Linked DNA regions of Macaca fascicularis. The protein of the gene in region 1 interacts with the protein of each later gene in a biochemical or structural test. Links are inferred from orthologs where the notes say so. Each region holds a gene or a part of one and is shown in the gene's direction. Other genes may lie near its edges.

Region 1 (3,909 bases):
CCATCCTTTATATAATTCTGGACCATGAGGTTCTAGTTATGGTGTGTATGTGCCTACCACCCACAGTCACACGTGACTACAGAATGCCTCCTAAATGAGAAGTAACCTTAAGGACTCACATTCATGTGGCTTCTGTACCAAAATGAAGCTGCCATTTTTCAGTGTGAATATGTTTTTTTTCTCTCATGACATAGACAAATGTTGATGTTTACTACAAGTTGGTACATTAGTTGCTAATTAAGTTCCTAGCTGCTCCAGCCAAAACTTGCTGTATTGAATCCAAGAAAAGAATGGCAGCTATATCAAAAATAAGTTGTTGGGGGATTTTTTTGTTTTGTTTTATTAAAGGAAAGTTGTATATTAAAGAATATAGGGAACTTACAAGCTGGAATCTAGGAAGCCTTCAGTCTTGACTTCCGTATAAGCTGAGTTGGTGGTTCAAGGCCATCCACATCTGTTACCAGGTTCTGGTCAAAGCTGCATAAATACCAGCAACCTAAATATGAGGCAGTAAAGTTAACTGTTTATTGTTACTCACTTTTTCGTACCCACCTGCAAATTCCCAGGGAAACAAGTTAGTGTCTGGGAACCCACGGGAGGTCAGGTTTATTTTAGGGAGGGCACAGAGGTGACTTCCTCCTGGCTTCTCCACATCTCTGCAAAGATGTCTTCTGAGCTTCATCTCTCACCTGTCCCTCGCAGTCTCACCAACCTCAGCCAGGCCTGCCTTGCTGCATTCACCAGCCGAGGGTAACTCCCTGTTCACGGCCGGGTCTGTGGCAGTTTCTGTTCACTTCCCCATTGGAAAGTCCCAAATCACAGGCTTTTATGCACTGCACGTTTTGACCTACAAAGGACCTGATTGTTAAGGCAGAACCCCGCTGGGAAAACAAAATAACCGCAGGAGGAGCTTTGCTAGAGTGTTGGTCTTGGTGCCAGAGAGAATTCGCTTTCCTTTTCTGTTTCCCGCGGTGTCCTTGACCAAAGGCCTCCCGTCTTCACCCGCCCCGACCAAAAGGTGGCGCCTCCCTGAGGAAACTCCCTCCCCTCTAGGCCGATTACGTTTGCAAAGTCCTGAAAAGAGAATCGAAACAGAAACCAAAGTCTGGGAAACTCCTTAAAAACTGCCTGACAGAAAGCTAGACTCGAAGCTCCTACCCGTCTGTGCAGCCGGATCGACCCGGTTCGGGACCCGGGGTGCACACCGCAGAGTCCAAAGTGCCGCGCCCGCGGCCCCGCGCGCCTCCCCGCTGCCCACCTGCCCACCTGCCCAGGTGCGACCGCAGCCCCGCGCGCCGGCCGGAGGGCTCTGCGGGCAACCTGGTCGTTGTCAGGCACAGAGAGGTAGACCCTTCTCCTCCAAGTGGGCAGCGGACAGCGGCACGCACATCTCACCTGTCCCGCAAAGAACAGCACCATCTGCTTGGGAGAACACTCTCCCTTCTCTGAGAAAGAAAGATGTCGAATGGGTATTCCACAGACGAGAATTTCCGCTATCTCATCTCGTGCTTCAGGGCCAGGGTGAAAATGTACATCCAGGTGGAGCCTGTGCTGGACTACCTGACCTTTCTGCCTGCAGAGGTGAAGGAGCAGATTCAGAGGACGGTCGCCACCTCCGGGAACATGCAGGCAGTTGAACTGCTCCTGAGCACCTTGGAGAAGGGAGTCTGGCACCTTGGTTGGACTCGGGAATTCGTGGAGGCCCTCCGAAGAGCGGGCAGCCCTCTGGCCGCCCGCTACATGAACCCTGAGCTCACTGACTTGCCCTCTCCATCGTTTGAGAACGCTCATGATGAATGTCTCCAACTGCTGAACCTCCTTCAGCCCACTCTGGTGGACAAGCTTCTAGTTAGAGACGTCTTGGATAAGTGCATGGAGGAGGAACTGTTGACAATTGAAGACAGAAACCGGGTAGGTGTCTGTTCAGACGGAGCTAGCCTTTTAGGCAGATTTTGCAAAGCAGGTTTCCTTGTGCGTTTGCCCCTTTCCAAATGTGCATGACATCTTTGGGCACATCTAGTTTCTTCCTTTGAGAAGACAACATCTAGGCACTTTAAGACAATGTTGAAAATTTAAACACAAAAGAACTACTTTTCTAATCTTTTCACTGAACTAAAAAGGAGTTAACTTTAGAATTGTAATGTATATTAACAGGTAACATGTATTGAACACTTACTATGTGCACTTGGTATCATTTTCAAAATGTATTACTACAGTTCATGTTCAGAGTAACCCACTGAGGCTCCTAATGTTATTAACTCCATTTTGCAGATGAGAAAACCTGAGGCAGATTAAATAATTTGCCCAAAGTGTTGAATGTTTTTCTTATTTAATGTAGTTGCACGGAGCAGGGGTCAGCAAACTACGGCCCACGGGCTAAATCCAGCCTGCTACTGTTTTTTTCAGGCCCCCAGGCTAAGGACGGTCTCTAGATTTTTCAATTTTTAATTTTCAGTGTTCATAAAGTTTTATTGGAACACAGTCATGTTCGTTTGTTTACATATTGTTTGTGGCTGCCTTTCTACTCCAAAGGCAATTGGATGGAGACTATGTGCCCTTAAAGCCGAAAATATGTATTATCTGGCATTTTAGAGAAAAAGTTTTCCAATCTTTGCCCCACATTACATATTGTGCCATTTATTCTTAGCCCAAATGGGTAAATTGCAATCACACACACACACACACACACACACACACACACACACACACACCCTTTTCTCTTTCTTTAATCAAAGTTTCTACATTTTCTGAGAATCAAAATTTAAAAACAATTCATTGAAAGAATGTGTTGCTAATTTCAGTTTTTCATGTTAGTGGAGAAACTGGATTTTTCTTAAGGTGGCATTTTGACAGGGCGAATTTTACTGATGACTTTACATTAAATGTGATATGAATTGTTTTTTGATAAGTGAAGATGTACTGAGGTGTGTATAAATGCTGACCTGTTTGCATCTGACTTACTCAGGCTCGTAAGTCAAAAGTCTTGTTTTGGAAGACATGTAGACGAATAAAGCCATGACTAAAAGTCAAAGGCTTTGTCTACACCACTGTATGATTTTCACATTTTTTTCCTCTCTTTTTGGTTCATCCATTGTTTGTGTATTCATTACTAACTTCTGGGCATTTGATTGATTGGCTATAGCCTATGATGTAATTTAGTCTTTAGTGAATAAAGTTAGTGATCTTTTGTAGACTTGACAGACACAGGGCCTGTCCAAAGACCCAAACATGCATCTAATTTTGATGGCCAGTTTTCCCAACAAGTAAATTACTTTGCACTGTTGTCTGTAATGTTTATGTCGTTTTGTGTATTGAGAACAAGCTAGAACGCATTATAGTAGTCCAGCTGGATATGACAAATGTGTACATCACTGTGGCAGAATCTTAATTTGGAAGAAAGTATGCAGCCTTCAAGCCAGCTGGAGATGGAAGATGGCATTTCCAGCCACAGTAGCTGTTAGAAGTCCAGAAGCAACAGAGTCCAGTAACACCACAAAGCTGTTTATGTTTGGTGGGTATGATGTCCCGATTGCCAGCGAAACAGCACTTCTCCCTATTTACTCTAAATACTTCTGCCTATCAGCATCACTTTTGTCTTGCCTGGATTGAATTTCCGCCAGCTAGATTTTATCCAAGTTCTTGATTCTGGCAAGCTTGGAGGCAGCTAGCAGTAATGCAAGGGATTTGACACAAAGAAGATATAGAGTAAAGGGACTTTCTTGTACTAGTAGCAGTTAAGGCCAAAGCAACCCAAATTCTCCCTCTGATTCACATTTCAAAGGAGGCCCCGAAAGACTAAGCAGCTATACATTTGAGGCTCTCTAGGAAGTAATAGTATCTCTGTGAGAGTCTGGAATAATTGTTGTGTGCATCATTTTACATGTATTATCAGTTCCAAAAATAAGCTAT
Region 2 (3,909 bases), on another chromosome or scaffold:
GCCAGGCTTGGTGGCTCATGTCTGTAATCCCAACACTGGGAGGCTGAGGAGGGAGGATCGCTTGAGCCCAGGAGTTCAAGACCAGCCTGGGCAACATAATGAAACCCTGCCTCTATTAAAAAAAAAAAAAAAAAAAAGATGATTTCTGCCATAGCTGGCCTGGTTCGGTGTTCCAGGGCCAGAGGACCCCGATGGAGCTGTACTCATGGGTGGGAAAGGGGCTGCCTCCCACCCCACCAGGTGCACCCTGACCTCCATCTTCTGAGGGTGTCGGGGACCCTGGGATCCGAAGCAAAAGCAGGCAGTGGGCCAAAAACAGGTGTGGCCCTGGGAAGGGAGACGGACATCCCAATCCAGCAGGTGCCTGAAACCCAGCTCCCCGAAAAAGTGGAGCAGAGCAGCTGGGCTCAGGAGGGAGCATTTATTGAGCACTGGCTGTGTGCCCCACGGGGTCCCACCGGGCCCCTGGAGAGAGAGTGCCTGCCCCAGCACTGACCCTCTGCACAGACTCCCGCCCCCACCCCATGCTTGGGAGGAGAAGCCACATTAGGTAGGTAACAGCGTGACTCAAGAGACCTGCTCAGGGTCAGAAAGCCCATGGAGCCTGCGGCTGGACGGTTAGGTGTTTTGTTTCTCCCTTACCAAAAGCAGAAGTCTGGCTAACTAGTAGGTGGAGGGTAGATCCGTGCACTTTTTCCAGAAACTTCGCCGGTGGCCGCACACAGGACGCAGTGCTTGCTGCAGCAGTGAGAGCTCGTGCCGCCGCAACATCAGCCGAGCTTGGTTAGATAGAAAGGCCTTGCTCTCCTGGGGTTCCCCCTGGCCTGATACACACTGCCAGGGAGGTGGGCGCTAGGCCCCAGACCCGCCTTGCCTGCTCAGCTGCAGGGGAAATGCTGGAGTGCCTCTAAATACTGAGGCTGCAGATCAGCTCGGACCCCAGGCAAGAAACTCCCCAGCAGAGGGCAGCAGGGAGAGGGGATGCTGATTGCAGCTGAAAGCTGGTTTGTGTACTCATTCAAGGGCCATTTGAAAAATACCAGTTAACTGGTCCCTGTCTGTTGGTGACCAGACATTTCCATCTCGCTGTTTACTTTAAAATAACCAAAATTACGTGTAGCCCAGAGAAGGAAGACACCCCAGTCTGGCAAGTGCCCGAAACCCAGCTCCAGGAAAAAGTGCAGCAGTGCTCGGGTCTGCAGGGAGCCCGCCAGCCCACGTGCACTGACTTTCGTTTCGTCGCCGAGCCCCGGGGGATTGCGCGGGTGGTCTATGCCCTTAGGCCATTGACAGATGAGTCCAGAAGAGGTTCCGCGCGACCCGTGGTCAGAAGCCCGGAGGCGGGGCGGGATTTTCGAGCCTCTGGTCTCCAGGACCTGGGCTGAAGGCCCACGGGGGTGGGATGGACCCGCCAGGCTGGGACCCGAGAGAGCCGAACCCAGCTCTCAGCCGGGGTGGCGCGGTGCCTAGAGGGAGGGAGGGGCGCAATGCCGGAACGCGGAGCCTTCGAACGGCCCAGGCCGAGGCGGGCAGGGGTGGCCTAGGCCCCTGCGGAGGTCGCTGGTCGAAGGTGTCGGAGAAGGGCCCGGCTTCCGGGGCGGGGACCTGGCCTCGCCCCGCCCCGCGTTAGCCACGCCCGGGCGCCCTCAGTACGCGAGGCCGGCTGTCCCTTTGAGAATTCCGGGGCCCGCCTGGCTCCCACCGCCAGCGGGCCATGGCCGTGCAGCTACTGGAGGAGAAGCTGACCTGCGCCATCTGCCTGGGACTCTACCAGGACCCAGTGACGCTGCCCTGCGGCCACAACTTCTGCGGAGCCTGCATCCGGGACTGGTGGGATCGCTGCGGGAAGGCGTGCCCCGAGTGCCGGGAGCCCTTCCCCGACGGCGCCGAGCTGCGCCGCAACGTAGCCCTCAGTGGCGTGCTGGAGGTGGTGCACGCCGGGCCCGCCCGGGACCCCGGCCCCGACCCCGGCCCCGGCCCTGCCGCGCGCTGCCCCCGCCATGGGCGGCCAATGGAGCTCTTCTGCCGTACCGAGGGCCGCTGCGTATGCAGCGTGTGCACCGTGCACGAATGTCGCCTCCACGAGCGGGCGCTGCTGGACGCCGAGCGCCTCAAGCGCCAGGTGACGCGTCCGCCGGGAACAGGAGGGGGCCGGACCCGCCGCGGCCTGGCCACCGCAGGATGACTCCTGCGGGCCGCGCCCTGCTCTCTCCGAGCACCCGGTGGGGGAGGGGAGCCTCAACTGGAGGGGCTTCGCCCAACCTGGGAGTTGATTATAAAAATCGCGGGTCTGCCAGGCGCGGTGGCTTACGCCTGTAATCCCCGCAGTTTGGGAGCCGAGGCGGGTGGATCACGAGGTCAGGAGATCGAGACCATCCTGGCTAACACGGTGAAACCCCGTCTCTACTAAAAATACAAAAAATTAGCCGGGCGTGGTGGCGGGCGCCTGTAGTCCCAGCTACTCGGGAGGCTGAGGCAGGAGAATGGCGTGAACCCGGGAGGCGGAGCTTGCAGTGAGCCGAGATCCGGCCACTGCACTCCAGTCTGGGCGACAGAGCCAGACTCCATCTCAAAATGAAAAAAAAATATCTCGCATCTGTGCATCGGACTGGGATGTGCAGCCCGGCCAGTGCCGCAGGGTGGGTCTCAGGAGCTGCTGGATGCCTTCCGGATGAAAAAAGCCTGGGCATGAGGCAGCAGCTCCCTGCTCCGTGCCCAGGCGCTAGAGAACAGTCGTGTGTCTGCTTTAATTCGCTGTGCGGGGTGGGGGTGGAGGGGTGAGGGGGGTATGGGGGCTGTTGGTAAATGGATAGACGAGCTCCCTGCCCTTAAGAGACTTAGAATCCACTTAAGAAGTCAGTGTTCCAGTAAGGCCTGAATGTATTCTTGCAAAATGCAGTGAGGAAAGTACATAGCATGTGATAGAGGTGTCGGGGTGACCCTGCTAAACAGGCCAGGAGGAGGAAGGGGAGGCCGCCTTCAGGCTGGCATGTGAGGGCTGAGGAAGCACCAGCCGGGAGGAGAAAGACCTGGGGAAGTGCATTCTAGGCAGAGGAATCAGCCTGCTTCCCTCTCTGGGATGGGAAAGAACTGGGCACGCGGGGTGGCTAGTGGCAGATTTGTGCCACTGAGATCTGTAGGCCAGGCCCCGGGGTCAGCAGGCGCCAGATCGGGCAGGGTCCTGGGGGAGCCTGTCTCTTACTCTAGTGTCATGGGAGCCATTGTAGGCTTGGAAGCAGGGTGGCACATGATCAGATTTGGGCTTCGTGGAGACTGATCACCTGGCTGGGGGCTGAAAGGGGCAGGACGCAAGACCTGAATAGGGTAGGAGCCCAGGGCAGGAGTGCAGGGAGGCAAGGAACCATTTGGAGGGCAGGGAAAGGAGACCAGGATGGAGGAGATGAGAAACGCTGAGGGGGAGCAGTGCCTTGTGGAGGCGAAAGCAGGCCAGAGGGGACATGGGGGACAGCAGAGAGGGCAGCAAGGGAGACACCTGGGTATTCTGTCTTGAGCACGCAGGTGGCTGGGGTCTGTGTGCTGAGAGACATAGGTGGAGGGCAGAGTTTGGCCTTGGACGTATAGAGGTGACAGTCGCCAGTGGGACAAACCAGGGGACGGGTCTGTGGCACCTGGGACCCCGGCCCTGCCGCGCGCTGCCCCCGCCACGGGCAGCCGCTGGAGCTCTTCTGCCGGACCGAGAGCTGCTGCGTGTGCAGCGTGTGCACCATGCGCGAGTGTCGCCTCCACAAGCAGGCGCTGCCGCCGGGAGTGGGAGGGGGCCAGACCCACCGCAGCCTGGCCACCACCGGGCGCGGTGGCTCACACCTGTGATCCCAGCACTTTGGGAGCCGAGGCGGGCGGATCACGAGATCAGGAGATTGAGACCATCCTGGCTAACACAGTGAAACC

Evidence for each region.
Region 2: of the proteins of IFIH1 (region 1) and TRIM65, one has a biochemical effect on the other in vitro, tested with the Homo sapiens proteins (2 studies listed by BioGRID, with this or other methods). The link is inferred for Macaca fascicularis from reciprocal best matches to the Homo sapiens genes IFIH1 and TRIM65.

What each region holds. Positions count from the first base shown.
Region 1 is NC_088386.1:57,786,562-57,790,470, reverse strand, and holds the start of IFIH1 (interferon-induced helicase C domain-containing protein 1), read left to right. Parts: upstream 1-1,100; 5' UTR 1,101-1,458; coding exon 1,459-1,911; intron 1,912-3,909.
Region 2 is NC_088390.1:82,303,747-82,307,655, reverse strand, and holds the start of TRIM65 (E3 ubiquitin-protein ligase TRIM65), read left to right. Parts: upstream 1-1,632; 5' UTR 1,633-1,714; coding exon 1,715-2,122; intron 2,123-3,909. UniProt on the Homo sapiens protein: E3 ubiquitin ligase that plays a role in several processes including innate immnity, autophagy or inflammation.